3 linked regions of the Macaca mulatta genome follow. The protein of the gene in region 1 interacts with the protein of each later gene in a biochemical or structural test. Links are inferred from orthologs where the notes say so. Each region holds a gene or a part of one and is shown on either strand. Other genes may lie near its edges. The genes, in order: STX3, SNAP23 and SNAP25.

Region 1 (7,929 bases):
ACATTAATTTCCTCTCCTGCAAAACAAGGAGGCGCACTAAATCCTAAGCTGTGCTCTAGGAAGCCTGAAGAAGCTCTTCAGGGGCCTCCTTAGAGAAGCAGAGTACAAGACAGGGGCCAAAAGGGCTGGACTCTGGCCCTGACCCCTATTTCTACCTGGAGAGTTCTCCTTTATCAGCTCTTCAAATTGAGTTTCAGATAAGGATTGTATTAAAAAAAAAAAAATCCCTCCACAGCTAAGGAAAAATATTAAGAAATTGGACTAGATAACCGTGAGACCAGGAAAAGTCTTACCTGGGATTTCCGAATCCGAAGGTCTGCCGATGACCTGACCTCATCTTCTTCAATATGCTTCTCCATGCCTAAAGAGAAGAGGAAGGTTATACTTGCAACCTATCTCCTCCTCCAAGAAACATGCTGTTCAGTGAAACTTCCTCACTCATTCCCACACACCCAGCCCATGGAGATGTAACAACAGGTAGGTGGCACCTCAAAAGGTCAGCTCCCAGGTGAGCCACAGGACATGCATTCCACAGCCTTTACAATGACCAGGTTTTGGCATAACAGTTAACAGCTTGGGTTTTGGTCACCATGAGACTTAAGCTTGAATCCTTGCCCTGGCACTTACTGGGTGTGACTTTGAAAAAGCCACTTAACCTCTCTTAAATGGACCTGTTCTCTCATCTGTAAAACAGAATAACTAACAGTCCCTCCCTCACAATACTAATATGAAGATTAAATGAGAAGACACATAAAGTACCTATCACAATGGCAGGTGCACTATCACTGTTATTACTGGAATCTGCTACTAATGACCCCTCCAGTTAACATAGTTATTGCAATATACTTGGGGGGAAGAAATGGCAAATTGGGCTGAGCAATAATGTTTTCTCTTCTGATCAATAGCATGCATGCACCAAATACACTGGGCAAGAATGCAGGCTCTAGCAACAGAACTAAGTAAACCTTCTAGACTCTGGAAGAATTGAATCTATGACAGTAGCTTCAATGAACTATACTCTCCCAAATGGGGGGAGTGGGGGTATAGGAAGGTGGTATGCCTAGCCCACCAAGAAATATCTGTAGACAGAACGGTATCTCTTGCATCTATATGTCTCTAAAACGACTATTCAAATGTATGTAGGTGGCTGGGCATTGTGGCCCACACTTGGAATCCCAGCAATTTGGGAAGCCGAGGCAGGTGGATCACTTGAGGCCAGAAGTCCGAGACCAACCTGGGCAACATGGTGAAATGCTGTCTCTACTAAAACTATAAAAATTAGCTGGGTGAGGTGGTGCATGCTTGTAATCCCAGCCACTTGGGAGGCTGACGGATGAAAATCACTTGAACCCAATAGGCAGAGATTGCAGTGAGCCGAAACTGAGCCACTGCCTTCTGGCCTGGGCAACAGAGGAAGACTCTGTCTTAAAAAAAAAAAAAAAGTATGTAGTTGCCAGGGAAATAAGACTAATAAGAGAAAAGTTGATGGGCCAGGTGCGTCCCAGTTACTCAGGAGGCTGAGGCAGGAGAATCACTTGAACCCAGGAGGTGGAGGTTGCAATGAGCCAAGATAGTGCCACTGCACTCCAGCCTGGGCAACAGAGTGAGACTCCATCTCAAAAAAAAAAAAAAAAAAGAAAAGTTGAAAGACTAAGTTAAAGGACCAAGTCACACAACTACTCAGCAGCTGAAAGCACATTTTAATTCTCATCTCCTAGCTTGCATTCTGGACTCTTTCCAGTATTGTCAGGATTTAAGAAAAGGTAAATTTCTGGGGCTACAATGGATCATTGCAGGGACAGAGCCTGAACCACAAACAAAGATGGTCCAAGTGGTGTCAGTTCCACCAAGAAGAGTTTCAGTTCGGAAAGCTGGACCCTAGGGGAGCTGAGATAGATGGTGGTGGGGACTGGCTTGTTTCCTTCATTCCCTTCTTACTCTTCAGTTTGTTCCGGACGTTGTTGGCCCTTTTCTTAATCTCAGTCGTGAGCTGCTCTAGGTCATCCTTGGTTTCTGGGTAAACAAAGGCAGGCAGAATCCGTTAGAAAGGAGAGGACTGATTCCTTTGTGAGCTACAGCAATCATCATCAGAGCAGGGTGGCTTTCTCAGGCATCCACTGCCCAGAATGGTATTTATCCCAGCGCACTCCCCAGAATCTATCATTAGAATCACAGAGTGCTTATTTTTTTAAAGGCATTTTCCAGGCACCCCATCCCAGTCTACAGAATAAAAACACCCAGGTTGGAACCGCAAAATCAGCCCTTTCAACCCTCCCAAGTAATCCTGCAGCACATAAAATTATGAGAACTCTGCTTTTAGAGGAAAGAGCCTACCATGGGGTCTTCGGTTGAGAAGGTTCTAGGGAGCTTATGGGGAAAAGAGATTTCAACCAAGGCTAATCAACTTAAAATGAGGCAAATATTTATGACATACCTATTACACACATCCTAGGTTGTATGGAGCAAACTAAGTATTAGCTATAACCATTCATTCAAAAGCCATCCTTCAACCCCCTACTACAACTTTGGAACAGAGCTAGAAACTATGGAATCAGAAAGAAGATCTAGGTTTTTCCTGCAAGATGTTTAAAGTCTAGTGGGAGACAAGAGAGAAATAAACCAGCAGCTGTAATATGCAGCGTGGAGTAAGGTATGAGTTCTGGTCAAGGTGTGCACAGCCTGGAGGGATCTGGAAAAGCTTCTAAAGACGGAGATGAGCAGGACTGAGTCTCAAGGACTGTGAGTTGGCCAGGTAGAGAAAGAGACTAAGAGCAGGAATCCCACGAGAAGAAACAGTAAGTAAAGGGTATGAGTGAACAGGAAATATCTGAGGAACCACCAGAATTGGTCTGGCTGAAGCGTGGGGAGCAGGAGGAGGATGGCAGGAGGCAGGCTGGCTGGGAAGGCAGGAATGTGATCAAGACAATGTCCATACGCTCTGCTAAAGTGTTCCCACTTCAGTCTTTAGGTAATAGGGCCCATGGGAAAAATGAAAGAGAGGAATGACAGTGTCAGGCTTGCTCCCTGTTCTTAAGGAACTGAAAATATAGCCCTAAACCACCCGTGTCCAAACCGTGGAATGCACAGATTTTTTTGCTTCTCTGTGGTGGCAGATATCAGGAAAATTATGTGCAAACCTTTCTTTTAGCTCATCGGCTATCATTAGTGTTAGTGTATTTTATGTATGGCCCCAAGACAATTCTTCTTCCAATGTGGCCCAGGGAAGAAAAAAGGTTGGACACCCGTGCAAACAATTAGGGGAGGAAAAAAGTTTGCCGAGGTGGTGGCAACAAACAGGAGTTTAGGGATAGAAGGAATTTCTGTGAACTTGAACCATTTTGGAACACCTCATGGAAAAAAAAATGAACTTGGTCTGGTAGGATTCGGAAAGAGGGCTAGGAAAAGCATTTCAGGCTGGGGAAACAGTACAAGCAGAGGCTCAGAGGAGGGACCAGGCCCAGGGTATGTAAGCAGCAGTGGGAATCGTCGCTAGTCAGGAAGAGGGACTAGCTGGGAAACAGGAAAGTCTGGCTAAATGGTTGGAGTGGGACCATGAAGAGAAAACCGTGACTGTGGCCAGGCAGTAGGAGCACAGGTAAGGTAAAGGAGAGGGAAATGAGATAATATGTACACTAGTGCCCTGTAACTTGTACACTTCCCTGCTGCTCACGAAGGGCAAGAAAACAAGGCTGGCTCAGCCCCGAGGAAAGGCTGATTATTGGGTGACTCAGTTCTAAGTAACCACTCACTTGGCTCTGGAATCGGTGCAGAGAGAATGATACTGTAGAGTTTCTTAGCCTCCTCCACATGTTCTGAGATCTTGTCAATGTTAAGCCGAGTTTCCTCAATCTATAATCAGAAAGACAATAACTTCCATCATCAAAGAGGAAGTACAGGTCCATGGCTGAGATAAACGCTTGGCAGAGCTGCTGGTGAAAGCTGCCCATCTTCTGGGTTCGTGGAAGAAGATAATGACTTAAAGTCTTCAGCTGCCCAGTGAGTACCCTTTCCATGGTTAAAGTCATCTCAACAGAACAGTTGTTAAAAATCCATACTTGTTGCTCCCTGAGAGTAATACATTTACCCACTTTGGATGGAAGGATTCAGGCCAAAGTCAAGAAGAGCTGGGAAAAACCATGAGGAATGATCAGAGGGGGAGAATCAGCAGACCTTAGCAGGCAGAGCCTTAAAGCCCGAAAAGTGAGAACAGAAAAGAGTGAGGATGAAGGAGAGGGGGAAAAGGAAGGAAGGAAGGAAAGAAGTGAAACGAAAAGAACAAACCTAGACAGTGAAAAACACAGAATGAGAGGAAGAGAAAGACAGAAACAGGCCAGGCGCGGTGGCTCAAGCCTGTAATCCCAGCACTTTGGGAGGCCAAGGCGGCGGATCACGAGGTCAGGAGATCGAGACCATCCCGGCTCACACGATGAAACCCCATCTCTACTAAAAATACAAAAAATTAGCCGGGTGGCCGGGCGCGGTGGCTCAAGCCTGTAATCCCAGCACTTTGGGAGGCCGAGATGGGCGGATCACAAGGTCAGGAGATCAAGACCATCCTGGCTAACACGGTGAAACCCCGTCTCTACTAAAAAATACAAAAAACTAGCCGGGCGAGGTGGCGGGCGCCTGTAGTCCCAGCTACTCGGGAGGCTGAGGCAGGAGAATGGCGGGAACCCGGGAGGCGGAGCTTGCAGTGAGCTGAGATCCGGCCACAGCACTCCAGCCTGGGCGACAGAGCGAGACTCCGTCTCAAAAAAACAAAAAATAAATAAATAAAAATTAGCCGGGCGTGGTGGCGGGCGCCTGTAGTCCCAGCTACTCAGGAGGCTGAGGCAGGAGAATGGCGTGAACTCAGGAGGTGGAGCTTGCAGTGAGCCAAGTTCGCGCCACTGCACTCCAGCCTGGGCGACAGAGCAAGACTCCGTCTCAAAAAAAAAAACAAAAATTAAAGAAAAAGACAGAAACAGACAAAGAAGACAAGGAGAGAAAAAAAGAGAGAGATAATAGGCAATGAAGGTCTCATGAGACAGCCTGAGCTTCTCTAGGACATATGTTCTTGTACTAACTGATTTCCTCAGACAATCAGGACCCAGTAGCTCAAGCCACAGCCCATTTCTGCATATTTCTAAGGTTCCTGATTGTACAAGGCTGTGGGTATCATAAAATATTTCCAGCAGCACTTCATTCCCAGGTAGAACGCCACTGCCAGACATTCCTACATGAGCTTTGACTGCAGTCTCAGATCCCCCTTCATAGCTCCCCATGCCGCTGTTTCCATAGCCCTGCTGCGGTGGAAGCCTATATACAGGGAGCAGGACAGGAAGGAGAAACCTCAACACCTGCAGGGTCTATCCGCTTCACTCTCAAAGTGAAGGGCACATCAACATTGCAACAATTAACAAACAGAAATCTTGTAAAATGTCATACAGTAGGATCCTAACATCTGAGATGCAACAAAAATAAAACTCAATGCATATGCAGCTTCCAGCATCCCTCTTTTCCCGTGGATACTTCATCTTTTTCAAAACTTGATTATAGCTCTTCATATTCAATAGAAAATAGGAGGCCGGGCGCAGTGGCTCAAGCCTGTAATCCCAGCACTTTGGGAGGCCGAGACGGTGGATCACGAGGTCAGGAGATCAAGACCATCCTGGCTAACACGGTGAAACCCCGTCTCCACTAAAAAATACAAAAAACTAGCCGGGCGAGGTGGCGGGCGCCTGTCGTCCCAGCTACTCGGGAGGCTGAGGCAGGAGAATGGCGTAAACCCTGGAGGCGGAGCTTGCAGTGAGCTGAGATCCGGCCACTGCACTCCAGCCTGGGCGACCAAGCGAGACTCTGTCTCAAAAAAAAAAAAGAAAAGAAAATAGGAGAGGCCAGGCACAACGGCTCACACCTGTAATCCCAGCACTTTGAGAGGCCAAGGCAGGCAGATTACTTGAACCCAGGAGTTCAAGATCAGACTGGGTAACATGGCAAAACCCCGTCGCTACAAAAAACACAAAACTCAGCCACGCATTGTGGCACGCCCCTGTAGTCCCAGCTACTCAGGGGGCTAAAATGGATGATCCCTTGAGCCTGGGAGGTTGAGGCCACAGTGAGCCATGATCATGCCACTGCATTTCCCGCTTGAGCAACAGAGTGAGACTCTGTCTCAAAAGAATAAAAAATAAAAAAAAAAGGAGAGAAAAGAAAAAAGAGAGAAAGAAAATAGGAAAAAAAACACTTGAGCTCTCCAGCCCTCAAATCAGTACTTTTGCCACTGGAGTACACGCTTTTCCCCTCTATAAATATATTGGTTTAGATGTGCCACAGTTTGAGAGTAGAGTTGCTTGCTGAAAGATGTAGAATAAAATTACAATGTAATAATATCATGGGAGTGTAAATATACATACAGGTAACTACCCAAATATTTGTGAAGCATTTTAACAGTTTGCAAAACAACCTATAAGACTGGATCGGTACCATTATTCAAATGAGGAAACAAGTTTAAAGAAATCATAGGTCACATAGCTTGTGGTAGGGACAGCATGCAAATAGTGCCCGCCACACTCCAACTGGGATGCTTTTTTCCATTAGATCAAAGAGTTAATTTTTTTTAAACTATCTATACTGTTTAGAAGCATTCTAGCACTACCCAGCTATAAAAAGGGCCACTGTTACAACCTCTGAACACTCACTGATACGGTTTGGCTCTGTGTCCCGACCCAAATTTCATCTTGTAGCTCCCATAATTCCCATGTGTTATGGGAGGGACCCACTGGGAGACAACTGAATCATGGGAGTGGGTCTTCCCCATGCTGTTCTCATGATAGTGAATAAGTCTCAGAAGATCTGATGGTTTTAAAAACAGGAGTTCCCTTGCACAAGCTCTCTTTTTGCCTGCTGCCATCCATGTAAGATGTGACTTGCTCCTCCTTGACCTACGCCATGACTGTGAGGCTTTCCCAGCCACGTGGAACTCAAAGTCCATTAAACCTCTTTCTTTTGTAAATTGCCCAGTCTCAGGTATGTGTTTATCAGCAGCGTGCAAACGGACTAATACACTCACAGACTCTAGGGGTGTGACCACCTCAGAATCTACCGGCCCCTCTTAGAACTCATGTCATTGCATCACACCATGTTTCCAGTTCCACTACATGACTGCCTTGCCAAAGCGATTACACTGTTTTACAGGATTAAGGGGGGAAAAAGGCTTTCTAGAAGAAAACACACTAAACATTTTTAAATGAGTTGATCAAATTTTAACAAGCCATGAAGGACTTAGATTTTGCATGTTCAACAGATTGGTTGTCATAGAAATTTTCTCATCTGGAAAATTATTTTATAAACTGAAGAGTATCCTGACCCAAAGTTTAGTCAATGGTAGAAACACAGGAAGAGATAGGAAGTTTCTAGGATGAGACTGGCAGGCCTCAGGCTCAGTGTCACTACAGGTATTTGGAGACTGGATGGCTGATGCTCACCCTGCCCTATGCACAGAAGAACTGGTCTTGGGGGCTCTATCTGCAACCTGCCTATGAGACTTCCCAGGCCCAGGGGGCACTCCATTCCACCCACTGTAGCTGGTCTCTTTCCTCTGACCGCATCAACCTCTCTATTTGGAGGCATTTCAAGGAATCTGATTTCACAGAAATATAGTCAGTTCACCAAATGATCACAGGACCTTTTTGGGACTTCAGGATGGGCAACTGGCCAACCATAGAGCTTTCTTTTTTTGAACTTTGTGGCTTTGCTTTTTCTTAGAAGTATTGGTTTTCCTCAAAGGTGACTTTCTGAGTATTTAATGGTGTGAAATGGCAGCTACATGTGGTTTCCTTTTGTGCATTTGCCAGATAATCAAAAAATCATGAGGCAATTGCAGGGAAAGGGTATAAGAAACTGACAAGTGCCCAATCTAAAAGTTTAAGGGCTATTGCATGTGCTTGT
Region 2 (7,929 bases), on another chromosome or scaffold:
TTCACCGTGTTAGCCAGGATGGTCTCGAACTCCTGACCTCGTGATCCGCCCGTCTCGGCCTCCCAAAGTGCTGGGATTACAGGCTTGAGCCACCGCGCCCGGCTTTTTTATTTTTTTTTTGAGACAGAGCCTCACTCTGTTGCCCAGGCTGGAGTGCGGTGGCGCAGTGGCGCGATCTCGGCTCACTGCAACCTCCGCCTCCCAGGTTCAAGCAATTCTCCTGCCTCAGCCTCCCAAGTAGCTGGGATTACAGGTGCTTACCACCACCTTCGGCTAATTTTTGTATTTTTAGTAGAGAGGGGGATTTACCATGTTGATCAAGCTGGCCTCTATCTCCTAACCTCGTGATCCACCCACCTCAGCCTCCCAAAGTGCTGGGATTACAGGCGTGAGCCACCATGCCTGGCCCTCAAAATCTTAAACCATAAAGCAGTTATGACAGTAGAATTATAAACAGGGCCGGGCGCAGTGGCTCAGGCTGGGCGCAGTGACTCATGCCTGTAATCTTGGCAATTTGAGAGGCTGAGGTGGATGGATCACCTGAGGTCTGGAGTTCGAGATCAGCCTGGCCAACATGGTGAAACCCCATCTCTACTAAAAATACAAAAATTAGCAGGGTGTGGTGGTGCATGCCTGTAATCCCAGCTCCTTGGGAGGCTGAGGCAGGAGAGTTGCTTGAACCCAGGATGTGGAAGTTGCAGTGTGTCAAGGTTGCACCACTGAACTCCAGCCTGGGCAATAGAGTGAGACTCCATCTCAAAAAAATAAAAAATAAAATGATAGTAGTGGTTCACCTAAAAACGACTGAAAAGATTATTATTATTATTATTTTATTTTTATTTTATTTATTTTTTTGAGATAGGGTCTTGCTCTGTCACCCAGGCTGGAGTGCAGTGCCATGATCATGACTTACTTCAGCCTCAACCTCCTGGACTCAAGCAATCTGCCCACCTCAGCCTCCCCAGTAGCTGGACTTCAGGTGCGCGCCACTATGCCCAGCTAATTTTTGTATTTTTGGTAGAGACGGGGTTTTGCCATGTTGCCCAGGCTGAACTACAACTCCTGAGATCAAGCCATCCACTCACCTCAGCCTCCCAAAGTGCTAGGATTCCAGTCATGAGGTACCACGCCCAGCCAAAAGTGACTGAAAAGATTTGTATGTGATCATATCATACACTTGGAATAGCAGTTTTTGGTTTGTGGCTCTAGTGATTCTTTGCAGGCTTTGTGCTACTGTTACATGCAGCTTTGTTTCTAAGAGCCACGTAAATACTTTGAGAGTACACCCTGTTTTTCTACTTATTTGTTCATTCCGCTATTTTCGGAGTATCTACTGTCAGATCCTATTAGGTGTTAGAGATACAAAGATAAAATCTCTGCCTTCCAAGAATTCAGTCCAGTACATTCTTGGGGGAATTAGGTTTTCTGCTTATCATAGGGTATATCCATGGCAAGGTTTCTCACCTCAAATTGACATTTTGGGTCAGATTATTCTTTGCTGGAGGGCTTTCCTGAAGAGTATTGTAGGATGTTAAACGGCTTCCCTGCCTCTACCTACTAGGTGCCAGTAACCAGCCCCATCATCTGGCCCAAGTTGTGACAATCAAGCATCTCCAGACATTGCCAGATTCCTGGGGGCAAATCTGTAATAAGAACCAGAGTTTATCTGTGTCATTGACTGTGAGCTTTGGTAAATGAGTTTTGAGAAAATTCATACAAAGCTAGCAAATGTAACAAAGAAAGAACCTAGATCCGTTGCACAATGCTTGTTATTACTCCACATGACTTCTCAAAGAGGAATTAGATAACAGCCGTGCTGAATAACACCTACAAAATGTTTTATTTTTTAGCTTGGATGTCTATGAGATCTCTTTCTGAGTTACTATGTGTAGGAGAATAATTGTTTGGTTTCTTAGGGACTCCACTAAAACAACAAACAATATAAGCCATTGGAGAGGAAGAGTCTAATGCATAATAAAAATCTTAGTCTTTTCTGAGCTGTTTGTACCAGCATTTCCCTTTTCTTGTTAAGAGCGAAAGTATTTTCTCCAGTGAGTACGCGGGACAACTGGCATATTTAGAAATGTCTCCTGTGTTCTTCAGGCATGTAACTTAAAATTTTGTTACTTTACTAAATTGGACTTTTCTTCACTTACTGCTTTTCCATGTTCAGACAACACGTGAAGAACATCGAACAACCAAAAATTCATTTTAATATAATAGTCTTTTAACGCTTGTCTTCCAGTAATGCCTTGGTTCTCAAAGTAAAGGATCCACTTTCCTGTTGGAAAGAGTACTTCCCTAGAAGTCCTAAAACCTGTATTTTAGGTTCACCCTTAGCACTCTTACTAAACATTCATTTAGCCTCTCTCGGTCTTGATTTCTTTACTTGTGGTAGACTAATAGATATAGAAAGAGGCTCTTTTATCCTGTTTTCCTGATAAGTTCCTAAATTCCATAAATCTACACTTTTTGCTCACACAAACTTTTATATATCCTTATTCTTATACAATATCCACATTTCCATTTCTGTGCCTAATAGAGTTTTGATTCATCATGGATAATCTGTCATCAGAAGAAATTCAACTGAGAGCTCACCAGATTACTGATGAGGTAAATGTTTTACCTAAAATAAGTAAATAATTCTATTTCAGTTTTCATATTGGAGGGGTGAGAGGGCCTTCTTAGGGACCATTTTGGCCTCTTCCTAGTCCATTAATATCAAAGAACACATTTGCCCCTTAGTGCCTTTGCTGGTTTTTATTTTCTTAAAGTGAAAACAATTTGTATGATTTTTATTTTTTAGGTACTTATTACTTAAGTGCAACAAAGATACTCTATTATGTATTTGAGAAATGCTAGACTTCTATTTAACAATTTCCTAATATCTGTAATTTACTTAGATTTCTACCTACATTAAATTTTTATGACTATAAAATTTTTATTCCCATGAACTTCACCATCCAAATATTCTCTCTTTTTTAAAAAAACTTTTCCTTTCAACATCACACTGGAAGTCCTTACACATTTTCTCTTAAGGAGCACTTGAAAATAACCGAAAATGTAGTGATCAACTTACTTTTTTTTTTTTTTTTTTGAGACAGAGTCTCACTCTATTGCCCAGGCTGCAGTGCAGTGATGTGATTTCGGCTCACTGCATCCTCTGCCTCCTGTGTTCATCAAGCGATTCTCCTGCCTCAGCTTCCTGGGTAGCTGGGATTACAGGCATGTGCCACCACGCCCAGCTAATTTTTGTAGTTTTAGTAGAGACGGGGTTTCACCATGTTGGGCATACTGGTCTCGAACTCCTGACCTCGTGATCCACCCACCTCAGCCTCCCAAAGTGCTGGGATTATAGGCATGAGCCACCACACCCGGCCATTGTTTTGTTTTGGTTTTTTTTGTTTGTTTGTTTGTTTTTGAGACGGAGTCTCGCTTCTGTCGCCCAGGCTGGAGTGCAGTGGCCTGATCTCAGCTCACTGCAAGCTCCGCCTCCCGGGTTCACGCCATTCTCCTGCCTCAGCCTCCCGAGTAGCTGGGACTACAGGCGCCCGCCACCTCGCCCGGCTAGTTTTTTGTAGTTTTAGTAGAGACGGGGTTTCACTGTGTTCACCAGGATGGTCTCGATCTCCTGACCTCGTGATCCACCCGTCTCGGCCTCCCAAAGTGCTGGGATTACAGGCTTGAGCCACCGCGCCCGGCCCATTGTTTTAAAGGAAGGGATAGGCTGGCAATTCTTTTTGTTTTTTCCTTTAATGGAGACAGTCTCTCCGTTGGGCTATGTTGCCTGGGCTGGTCTTGGACTCTGGTACTCAAGAAATCCCCCTGCCTCAGCCTCCCAAAGTGCTGGGATTGTAGGCATGAGCCACTGTGCCCAGCCTGAGCTGGCCATTTTTAAAGATAGAATAGCATCATGAATGTGGCCTGTGATCGGATGGTTTTTTTGTTTTGTTTTGTTTTGTTTTTTACATATTTTGGAATGCTAAAACTCTGTGTTTTTTCCTAGTCTCTGGAAAGTACGAGGAGAATCCTGGGTTTAGCCATTGAGGTAAGAAAATGTTAGTCACCAACTTAAGTATAAAAATTTATAGGAGATATCCTAATACTTCTGGCTGGAATTAGTGTTAAAGGGTAATGTATCAATATGCTTTATTATTTGAAATTAACAGTTGCTGAAATTGTCAAATTATGCACTAATGGGCCTTTTTTGTTTTTCCCTTTGACAGTATTGGAATATGACAGGGAAGATGAATTCACTATGAGTTTGTGACTTAATTATTTTGGGGGGCTACTATGTTAAAGTGTGTTTAAGAATACTAGTTCTGTCTGTAGCTCTAATCCTCTGAGAGCTTGGGTTTCTAAATTATTCTGTCTTGCTATTTGACAGCTCTTGTAGGTTTTGTTTCTGTTGTTTTTGGTTTGTTTTGTTTTACTATCAGCCTTTTTCCCACTTCTTTTAGTCTCAGGATGCAGGAATCAAGACCATCACTATGCTGGATGAACAAGGGGGTGAGTTAAATTATTAGCAGAAATTCTTAATTTGACCATGATGCCAAAAAGCCCTATCAGATTAGCCACATACAAATTTCAGCCTTTGGGAGGGCCTTCCCTTTGTAAAGTAAGAATAATATGTTTACTTCTTGTCTTCTGGTTTGAATAATGTCATGTTCACTGTCTATTTGGGATGGCAGGCAACAATGCCCAACTGTGTATATACCGAGTATGTGTTAGACCAGCATGGCTAACACATTAGACATTATGATAGTAATGTAGCTGGGATTACAGGTACCCACCACCACACCCAGCTAATTTTTTGTATTTTCAGTAGAGACAGGTTTCACTGTGTTGGCCAGGTTGATCTCAAAGTCTTGACCTCAAGTGATCCGTCCACCTTGGCCTCCCGAAGTGCTGGGATTATAAGCATGAGCCACCATGTCTGGGCAGACATTGTGATATTCTTACATCATCCTCAAATCAAGTTAAGTCCTAAAACAGATCTAGATTCAGGTGTGCTTGGAAGCACTTGAGTTGGCCCTGATTAATCAGGTCTAGTTTTTATTACTCCTATAACAGCCCTCAGGTTTTGAACCTCATAGAAATGATGGGGATTTGACCTGGTCAGAGTACCCTTAACTTGGTTGTAAGGATGATCTCTAAATAACCATCCCTTGGTCCTACTATACAAGATTCTTTTATTTTTTATTTTTATTTTATTTTATTTTATTTTGAGGGGAATCCCACTCTGTCATCTAGGCTGGAGTTCAGTGGTGCAATTGCATCTCACTGCAACCTCCAGCTGCCAGGTTCAAGTGATTCTCCTGCCTCAGCCTCCCAGGTAGCTGGGATTACAGGCACCCATCATCACACCCAGCTAATTTTTGTATTTTTAGTAGAGATGGGGTTTCATCATGTTGACCAGGCTGGTCTTGAACTCCTGACCTCAGGTGATCCGCCCACCTCGGCCTCCCAAAGTGCTGGGATCACAGGCATGAGCCACCATACCCAGCCATATACAAACTTCTTAGAACAAATTTTTCCACAGCAAGAGGCTAGGTGCCTCAGGATCAGTACGTGAAAGATTGTTATCATGTTGAATAGCTTCTAATACCTTTTGACACTGACTTATTCACTGTGGGGAGTTATTGGTAGATTCAAGGTTGAAGTTGACTGCTCCATAATAATAGCATTTTCTGGTTGACACTGTGAATGGAACACAAAATGTAACTTTACAACTTATTCTTAGAACAACTAAACCGCATAGAAGAAGGCTTGGACCAAATAAATAAAGATATGAGAGAGACAGAGAAGACCTTAACAGAACTCAACAAATGCTGTGGCCTTTGTGTCTGCCCATGTAATAGGTGAGTTGATAAATTAAGACGGTTTCAAAATAAATAAATGACAGTACCCCACCTTCTCCCGCCAGCTAAGGTCAGAAGTATGACTGGGTTTAATGAGGAACTCTATTAGATAAATCTAAGTTGTCTCTCCTTCAGGCAGATTAAGCTTTTTGTGTCAATACTGCTTGTTCACTGAAAACTATGACTTATAGTTGACCAATCCTGGGATCAAGTTCCAATTTCAATTTGTAGTGATACATGAAAAGGTTAAGAAGTATAGAGAAATGTATATCTGGATGATGGTGAGCAGGATGGAGTTATTTTCTTTTCCTTTCAAAAGGCAGAGTATTAACAAAATATTTATTTTGTGGTAGGCACATGAGGGATGGCCAAAAGAGTAGAAAAGTTGGGAAAGAAAGGCAAAACTTAAAAAATACATAAATCTGATGTTAGATTATATGATAGTGACCAAAGCTAGGTATACAGAACTGATAAAGGTTGGGTTGGAGAGCATCTTATAGAAGAGTTAGGATGTGGGTTGGGCTTTGAGTGATTAGAAGGATTTGGATGAACAGGGAGGAACAGTGAGGGCATTTCCTATGAAAGGTTCAAAATAAAGATTAACAAGGAGCTTGACTTAACTGAGCTGTGTGCTCATGTAGATGAGAAGTGGAAAGTAAGATATAACTAGGTAGTAGAGGAACTTGAATGCCAAACTAAAGAGTTGATAGATTGGAGTGGAGTGTAAAAAGAAATGACAGTATCTGGAGATTGAATGACTGTACTCACTGCTGAAAGGTTTTTTTTTTTTTCCCCCCTGAGACAGGGTCTCTGTTACTCAGGCTGGAATGCAGCGGTGTGATCACGGCTTACTTAAGCCTCTCTTTCCTGGGCACAAGAGATCCTCCCACCTCGGCCTCCCAAAGTGCTGGGATGCAGTGGCACAATCTTGGCTCACTGCAACCTCTGTCTCCCCGGTTAAAGTGATTCTCCTGCCTCAGCCTCTCAAGTAGCTGGGACTACAGGCGCCCACCACCACACTCAGCTAATTTTTGTATTTTTAGTTGAGACAGGGTTTCACCATGTTGGCCAGATGGTCTTGATCTCTTGACCTCATGATCCGCCCGCCTCAGCCTCCCCAGTTGCTGGGATTACAGGTGTGAGCCACCGCACCTGGCCTCAAAGTATTCATTTTTAAAGAGCTTCTTAGACATTAGTATTTCATCCAGTTCTCAGCTGGTCTTGTAAACCAACAGTGGTTATATTTTTATATTTTCAGATAAGTGTTTTATGTAACAGCATTTTTGTGCCATTTCTACTGGAGAAAGTAGAGATTAATTGCTTGTCAGTCAACTTTAGTGTTTGTTTTGGCCATGAGGAGTTAAGATTTGACAGTGTTCTTCCTAGTCTTATCCATTGACTTCCTGTTCTAACAAGTCTGTTGACCTGTTTACACCTTGGTTGACTAACGGAGAGTTTTTTTTTTTTTTTTTTTGAGACGGAGTCTTGCTCTGTCACCCAGGCTGGAGTACAGTGGTGTGATCTCAGCTCACTGCAACTTCCACCTTACAGGTTCAAGTGATTCTCCTGCCTCAGCCTCCCAAGTAGCTGGGATTACAAATATGTGCCACCACACCCGGCTAATTTTTATATTTTTAGTAGAGACAGGCTTTCACCATGTCGGCCAGGCTGGTCTCAAACTCCTAACCTCAGGTGATCTGCCCACCTCTGCCTCCCAAAGTGCTGGGATTACAGGCGTGAGCCACTGCTCCCAGCTGAAAGTTCATATTTTAATAACTATAACTTGTCAATCAGCAGATTACTTTAAGCAAACAAGTTAAAATGTACAGATTGTTTGATACAAACTCTTAGCTATGTTTTACAAAAATAATTGTACCTTTCTTTTGTGTTCCATCTACCTTCTTGGAAGAGTACAGAAGAGAGGAAGTAGATGAATTTTCTTGAGATCAGATGTTAGGAGAACAAGGAAAAAGAAGTCTTCTCTAAAATCTTAGAGCAAGATCAACTCTAAGTCACGTGTTGATAAACAGGAAGAGCATTGAATTAGACCTAAGATGGTCTAATATCA
Region 3 (7,929 bases), on another chromosome or scaffold:
GACATGGAAATAAAGTCTCGTGTATTTAAGTAAAACACAGTGTTCACATCTCTACATCATCTCACGAGCACATGTTCTAGTGGCCAGAACACGCATTTGAAAATTAGCAGGCTCATAGTAAGATGTTCTGTCAGTCATTAAATGACTGCCCATAAAACTAACCTCACATAAACTTACTCCATTATTTGTTTAATGCCAGTGGTAGAATAAGGCAACCCTGAAGCTTTGTTATTTCTTTTTTTACTCTGATTTCATATTTGATGCTTTGCCCAGCAGTCACTGGGTAGAGACCTGTGAAACCTGTTATCTCCAAAGAAGTTTCACTTTAGGATTCCTCCTATCTAAGAGCCCTAAATAGTATGATTTTTTTTTTCACAAGAGCAATAAATTTGGAAAGTGATATTAATATGTACTAAATTAAAAGCCTAGAAAATTCCATCTTTGTTGAGGAAGCAGTAGAATCGTGCACCCGGGAGGCGAGATGGCAGAGCCTGCTCCCCCAGGATCAGATCCAGGACCTGCCTCTGGGAACTTTTGTTCCCTTGCCTCCCATTGAGTATGTTCCTGAATTTTTTTCATACGGAATTTTCATTTTTGTTTTTCCAAAAAGTGATTGTCATTCTCATGCAAATAATATTAATAATAAACATGGTAGTGTCCCAAGGCCCTAAATCTAATTTCCTTTCCCAGCTTCAGTTTTCAATAGAAGGACAAACACAAATACATTTTTTGGTTAGGAAATCATGCTCATATGCAATGTTTCTGTTCCATTTTAAGTTTCGTCAGACATTTACTAGTTAGTGTAACACAGGCTGCTATAACAAAACAACCCTCACATTTTCCATAGCATAATAGAAATATTGTTTGCTCACACGAGAGTTCAGGTATTACAGGCCAGGAGTCACTTTCCTCCATGCAGGGATATGGAGGACCCAAGTTCTTTCTGTCTCATGGTCTCATGGCTTAGCCATCCTTTAAGACTCTGTTTTTCTGGCAGAAGGAGAAAGAGAGGGAGGAGAATACCTGCTTCTGAACTGCCTTAGACTGACAGGGACACACATTGTTCTACTACCACTCATGGACTGTCTCTAGCCACAAAACACCACTTCTTGCAATGGGAACTAGAAATGTAATTCCTGGCTGCACAGCCATTTCCCAGAGATCACGCTCTACCATGCAACAGTGAGGATAAAGCGCACAGTTGACCATCTCAGCTGCAAGACAAGAGCCCATGCCTTCTTCAAATGTGCTACTCACAGAGAGTTTTTCACCCTGTCAAATACCTACCCCACCAGGCCCTTTACCCCATTCCCTTCAATGGCCTGGGGACATGACTTCCTCAGAGAGGCCTGTTGCAAACCCATGGGCACCCATGACACCAGACATGACCCCTAATGTAATTATAATCACCCTGAATCATCTAATTCCCTCTTTTGCTTGCATCTTCCCAATTAGACTGAATTCTGTAAAGGCAGGGAATTTGGCTATCTTGTCCATAACTGTATCTCTAGTACCTAACACTGCCTGGCATATTACAGGTGCTCAATAAATATTGGAGAAGGAAGGAGGAAGGAGGGCTCTCTCTGGAATGGACTCAGTCCTGGTACCCGTCATTTGTACCATGTGGGATTTCAAGAGAGTAGCCAAGAAATGGACTGGTCACCTTTCAGGGCCAAGGACCCATCCTCTTTGGAGTGATAGCAGCTCACCCTCACACAAGCCCTTTTGGCAACCTCTGATGACAACTGAAATAGAGGAAAGATTTTCTGCCTTTGGCTTCCACATGCTTCTAAATACAATGGAATACTGTTCAACAACAAAAATGGAATGAACTATTAATACATGCTGCCAAATAGATAAATCTCAAAATAATTATGCTAAGTGAAAGAAGGCAGACAAAAAGCAGTACCTACTAAGTGATTTTTATTTATATAAAATTGTAGGAAATGCAAACTAATGTATAGTGACAGAAAGTAGATCAGGCTGGGCGTGATGGCTCACGCCTGTAATCCCAGCACTTTGGGAGGCCAAGGCGGGTGGATCTCGAAGTCAGGAGATCGAGACCATATTGACTAACACGTGAAACCCCAGTCTCTACTAAAAATACAAAGAATTAGCCGGGCATGGTGGCGGGCGCCTGTAGACCCGGCTACTCGGGAGGCTGAGGCAGGAGAATGACGTGAACCCGGGAGGCAGAGCTTGCAGTGAGCCGAGATCGCGACACTGCACTCCAGCCTGGGTGACAGAGCGAGACTCCGTCTCAAAAACAAAACAAAACCAACAAACAAACAAAAAGAAAAGAAAAAGAAAGAAAAGAAAGTAGATCAGCAGTTTTCTGGGCATAGACATGTGGGATAGGGCAGGGACCACTGGGTGGGTAGGAAATTTGGGGGAATAATGGCTAAGTTCATTGTTTTGATTGCAGTCATGGTTTTCTGGGCGTATACATATGTCAAAACTTCTCAAGTTGTCCACTTCACATATGTGGGGTGTCCTGTATATCTGTTATACCTTAATAGAGCTATTTAAATAAATAAATAAATGTGACGATAAAAGTGCACTAACCCCAAACCACACCCCTCCAACCTCATCATTCCCAACCCTTGGGTAGTTTGTCTCTTTAGAAATATTTCATAGGTAGATAGGTGTCTACCTCCATGGTAGAATTGGCAAGTATGTATTTGTGGCACCTTTCGGAGAAATAGCACAATTCTCTTGACCCCTGTCTGAGCATGGCTTTCAGATCAGAAAACTGAGTCATGTGGACTGAATATGGGCCATGTAGATTTTCTGGTCTTTGCACACACCTACATGAACATATATAAGCTCTCATATTTTCAAATCTACTTCTTTCCAGGTCCAGAGCCAAACCCATCACTGACCCCCCAGCCCAGGCGCCCAGCCACTCCCCACCGCTACCATGGCCGAAGACGCAGACATGCGCAATGAGCTGGAGGAGATGCAGCGAAGGGCTGACCAGTTGGCTGATGAGGTAAGGAGTGGAGACCTAGGAAGGGAGGCAAAAGATGAAGGCCTGAGTGGTTTGTCTTTTTCAGGTTTAGGTAAGGAAAGGCTTTCTTTCAATGTCTCAATTTTAGAAAAAGTAGTATGACTTTGATTTTCTATACAGCTAAGCCTTCTGCAGCCCAGAATGAGTTGATTACAAAACCTGTATACAAATTAATGCCTTGGCCGTAACTCTCAATTTCTAGAAATCTTGAGAAGTCAAGGTTCTCTAAGAAAAGAAAGCAATGTCTTTGGGTGCCTTACATTCAGTGCTATGCTGGAGAAGGTTCAGTTCTAAGAACAGATTGTTAACATTTTCAGGAACTTTGCAAGCTGGTTGCTAAATGCAGCCATTATTAAAATTGAATCATATAAACTGACAATTAGATAGATTATATTAAAATCAAAAGTAATAAACACTCAAACCTCATCACTTCCTAATTATTTTGCCACATTTTACTATTATCCAGGATCTTGAGATCCATCCATTGTATCTGTAGGGTGGAAATAAGGTGTAATAATGTGTCACCATGTATCTTTCCAACTTCATGATCAGTAATATGAAGTTGTAGCTTAAAATCAGGCAGAGCTGAGTACAGTGGCTCGCACTTGTGATCTCAGCTGCTTGGGAGGCTGAGGCAGGAGGATCGCATAGGCCAAGAGTTCATGACCAGCCTGAGCAACATAGAGAGACTCCTACCTCTAAAAATATTTGAAAATTTAAAAATCAGACAGAGTAAAAGTATTTATAACCCAAGAATCTGCAAATACTGCAGATCAGGACTTGACTTATTGTTTCGCTGATTGCCTAGACTTTAAAAAGTGGAGAAAATATTAATAATGCAGATTAAAGTTAGAAATATGTATGTCTGCAGCCATTATACTATGAATAACACAAAAAGAGGAAATCTTCCAGTATTTGAAAGTTATGATTCTCTAAGGCAAAGAAATCCCTTTTGTCATTCACAAATGAAGAAATTTCCAACACATGTCTTCATTGTTTCATTTTCTTCTTACTCATTAACATAAATGAAAATATCCAACCAACATTCATGTCAGAACTACTCTGGTTCATCACATGGTTAGCTATAGATACAAGAGTTCAGCAAAAATCAGTAAAAGCTTTCTGTGAGAATCAATTGGCTATGCGGAATTTACAATAAAGAGAGTATCGTATATTTTATTATTATTTATAAATGTTGTGCTATTCATCCTTTACATCAGTAAAATAATAACCTTGAATACATGTATGTGTTCGTATATTTTTCCCAGAGAGCCAGTAGTTAAACCTTTACCAGCAGACTGCTGCTTGCAGCCATTCTGTTTCAAAAAGCAGCCAGCTGACAGGTCTTCCAGGGAAGTTAACATCCTTCAGGTTCCTGCAGAATCTTGTTCAAAATAAGTTTGTCACTTAAAAGCAAAGCTTTGAGAAATCATACTGGTTGTTGGATTCTAGTCGTTTCAAAAGAACTGAGGAAAAAAATGACAACGCCGTGCCTGGGGGACTGTTGCAGAGCTCAGACTTTCCATCTCATTTTTTCTTATCTAAGGATGAAGATAATTATTATAGCTGTCTCCTATAGGCTAGTCATTTCAAACATGCTTGATTTTTTTCACCCTAAGGCAACAACTTAATTTGTATTGATAAGAACTTCCAATTGTGTTTCTAGGAGCTTTGTAAGAAACTTGATGTTATATTCATCTCGATTCATGAAAAATTATGCTCGTGTTTAAAATTTAATATTCCTGGCCCAGGGAGGCCAAATTAATCCTCTGAGTATTTGAGATAATTTTTCATGCATTCTGAGCATGCAAAATTATCTTCTCCAGATTACTTTGTCTTTGATATCAAGATCAGCTTCATATGGTTTTGATTTTATGAATATAAGCTTTAATGTAATTGCTTTAGGGAATCTGATCATGTAAAAAGCCTGATAGGAAAGAGTTTGAAAACGTAATGACATTTTGTGTTTCACTTGCCAACTGAAAAGAATATGTGATAGAGACCCTTTGTGATTCTCAAGTAAATACAGTATTTCTGACTTTCCAAGACCTCTGGATCCTGCACTCATAAAGCTTGTGTTTGTTTGTTTTTTTAATCTTAGTCGCTGGAAAGCACCCGTCGTATGCTGCAACTGGTTGAAGAGGTAAGAAGTGACAGTATTTTAAGGTAAAGAAACAAATCCTTTATGCTGATATATCCTCTCCTAGTTGCTATTATGTTTCCTTAGTCCATGATCCCATAGATTCCAGTGTGAATGTAGCCTATCAGAAAGGCTCAGAATGAGGGAGATGCTGTATTTAAGTTGCCAGATAGCCATGAAGGCAACATCACCCTCCTTCCCAGCCCAAGCTACCTCTGTAGTCTGGGAAGCAGAGAAGAATAGAATTTCCAAGTCAGTGCTCTCAAGAAATCACAAAAGATTGTATCACTTTAAGCAAATCAGAGCAATTTTTAATATACAAAGGAATTATCTACATGAAATATTATTTGTAATTATTTTGGTGCCTATAAATTACATTTAATCTTGAGATTCTGTTCTAACTTTAGCCACATATATGACTTTTAAAAATATGTAATGCATATAGGTATATCATTTTAAGAAATTGTTCTATTTAAAGTTAAGCACTAAAATTTACGAAAAAAATAGGAAAGGCCTTTAAGAAAGGGAAATATCAAGTCCAATATTATAAATACAGAAGCTTTTCTATATTCCTGTCTGGATTAAGCATCCATTTGCGAGGCAGGATTAATGAATCCCAAACTATTTTTAAATGGGTAAAATGGGGCAGACAGTAATAATGGAATCAAAAGGGCACTTGGAATCATAAACCTCACTCATTCCAATTTGGTAGTACAGCAGTCGGCCAGCAGAATAAATGGATTAATTGAACTTGCCCGAAGGGAGAGATGAAGTGGAAAAAGAATGGGTTGGACTATATTTATCTTAACCTAATAAAACAAGCCTAATAGTTTTTATTCAGTGAGATGCTGTTTTAGCTGTGCTCTGAAACTGCTTATCAGTGTATAGATTCATGTGTGATTATCATTTTTAGAGATCTTGGGCTTTCTCTGGCAGAATGATTAAATGAGCCTACTCCCCTCATGCAACAACATGAAAGGGAAGAAAAGATAAATTTTACAAAGGGTAAAAGGAAAGGCAGCCGCCTCTCACACTCTAGGAGGCAATGTCTTCCTTCTCTTATTTCTGTGGCTTCAGCTTCTCACCTAGGAATGAGATATGGCTAAATGTGAATTGCCACTGGAGGAGTGGGAAGGAGGTGGCAAGCATGCACTCCCTAGGAAGCCGGGGAAGTGGGTGGGGCGGGGGTTGAGAGAGTAGGGCGTACATAACAAAATCTGTTATCCCCCAAAATGATAATTCAAGCCTGCAATGTGGCACAAATGGGCCACACGGGAAGGCAGCCCTAGCAAAGCAAGCCCTCAGCACAAGGAAGCAGCATTCTGTCTAAGCGAACAGCAATGTTTTATCTGTACTGTCCTGGGAACGCTTCTGCTCATGCAGAAATACTTGATGAAGAAGGAGGTAGATATTCTAAATCTAGGAGTGCAGGCAAGGCTCTTAGCATGGACTTACTCTCTCTCGAGTTTTCAGGCGGAAAAAAATGAAAGAAGCCCATCTTAGTGATATGCCTACATGAGCTCTGATGTTAACCTGAAGGGAGCCCAGAAGTCAACCGAGATATTTATTTGATTGTATATTATTACATTATCATAATACATCCTTATGACTTTCAACCATAGCCTCCGATCTCATTTTTCTTTTTTTGCTTACGTGTGTGCACATCTGATGTAAGTTTCTGAAATATCAGAACTATCACTAATTTGCCTGCCTGTGCAATGTTGAAATGCTGCCTAGACCGTGGAAAGGAGAAGAATAAATGAATCAGAATGCACACCTTGAACTGATCCCTTTCAAATCAAGAGTCTGAAACATGGTCACTTTTTCATGTATCTTCTTAAACTGCAAACCATGTTGGCCAGTCTTCAAAAATGAGTATCTGCTCTAATTTATTCTAGGGGAAAATCTCTCAAAAGCTTATTGGTTGAAGTAGGATTCTCGAATCGTATGTTTTTGTTTCTCCTAAAGCAGTTTTCAATCAAGCACGAAGCTACATCTTAGAACAAGGAGCAAAAGAGATGGAAGCTATCTCCTGCCTCTAATAAATGAGAGGAGGCTATTAGACTTTCCATGCTTAGGAAATTGTGAGCGAAGTGTTATTAGAGTAGATTGATTTGCTCTTACTTCCTCCTGGGCTATTTTATATTTGTGGTCAAACATCCTGATGTCTAGGACATTGGTTATTTAGATGATATTCTGCTTTTCAATCAAAAAGGGTGTTCTCTAAAGAGAATCTGTATTAAATATTCATCAAGGGCAGAAATCATTTGGAAAACCTGAGGATTGAAGTATCAGGATCTTACTCATGATCCCAAGGTTTGACAGTGCCATAAAATTTCAATTGAGCTGAATCCTTATTGAAATTCAGTCTCAAAGACAGGAAAGGTTACTAAACTTGTGAAGTCTCCCTAAGGCAAACAATCTCACTTCCAGTGGAATATACAACTTTACACCATCCTTAATACACTCCAGGGTGTAGCCGTGGTTAGGAGTGGGGCCTTGCTTTTTAATAGTCATCATTATCAGCATTTCAAGGGTAATGTAAAACTACACAGAGGTGAGTGGAGAAAGTTCAGAAAAAATGAATGCCATAGATAGGTAAAAAGGTTAGAAATCATGTAGCACTTTGTTCTCAGCCTGGAGTTAGGAACTTTCTTTTGGTGAATGCATTTCAACAAATATTCACAGAATGCCTAACTCTGGGGATAAGGAAGGAAGATGTAAATTGGTGTCTTGCTGGGAAACAGATATGTAAGTAGCTCTGCAAATTCAAGGCCAT

Evidence for each region.
Region 2: the proteins of STX3 (region 1) and SNAP23 form a complex in vitro, tested with the Homo sapiens proteins (3 studies listed by BioGRID). The link is inferred for Macaca mulatta from reciprocal best matches to the Homo sapiens genes STX3 and SNAP23.
Region 3: the proteins of STX3 (region 1) and SNAP25 form a complex in vitro, tested with the Homo sapiens proteins (2 studies listed by BioGRID). The link is inferred for Macaca mulatta from reciprocal best matches to the Homo sapiens genes STX3 and SNAP25.

Annotation. Positions count from the first base shown.
Region 1 is NC_133419.1:14,094,543-14,102,471, forward strand, and holds part of STX3 (syntaxin-3), read right to left. Parts: intron 3,850-7,929; coding exon 3,750-3,849; intron 2,014-3,749; coding exon 1,939-2,013; intron 362-1,938; coding exon 294-361; intron 1-293. UniProt on the Homo sapiens protein: Potentially involved in docking of synaptic vesicles at presynaptic active zones. Apical receptor involved in membrane fusion of apical vesicles.
Region 2 is NC_133412.1:19,916,017-19,923,945, forward strand, and holds part of SNAP23 (synaptosomal-associated protein 23), read left to right. Parts: intron 1-862; exon of another isoform or gene 863-979; intron 980-2,542; 5' UTR 2,543-2,556; coding exon 2,557-2,613; intron 2,614-4,006; coding exon 4,007-4,048; intron 4,049-4,460; coding exon 4,461-4,509; intron 4,510-5,743; coding exon 5,744-5,861; intron 5,862-7,929. UniProt on the Homo sapiens protein: Essential component of the high affinity receptor for the general membrane fusion machinery and an important regulator of transport vesicle docking and fusion.
Region 3 is NC_133415.1:73,752,456-73,760,384, reverse strand, and holds part of SNAP25 (synaptosomal-associated protein 25), read left to right. Parts: intron 1-2,857; 5' UTR 2,858-2,920; coding exon 2,921-2,992; intron 2,993-5,111; coding exon 5,112-5,153; intron 5,154-7,929.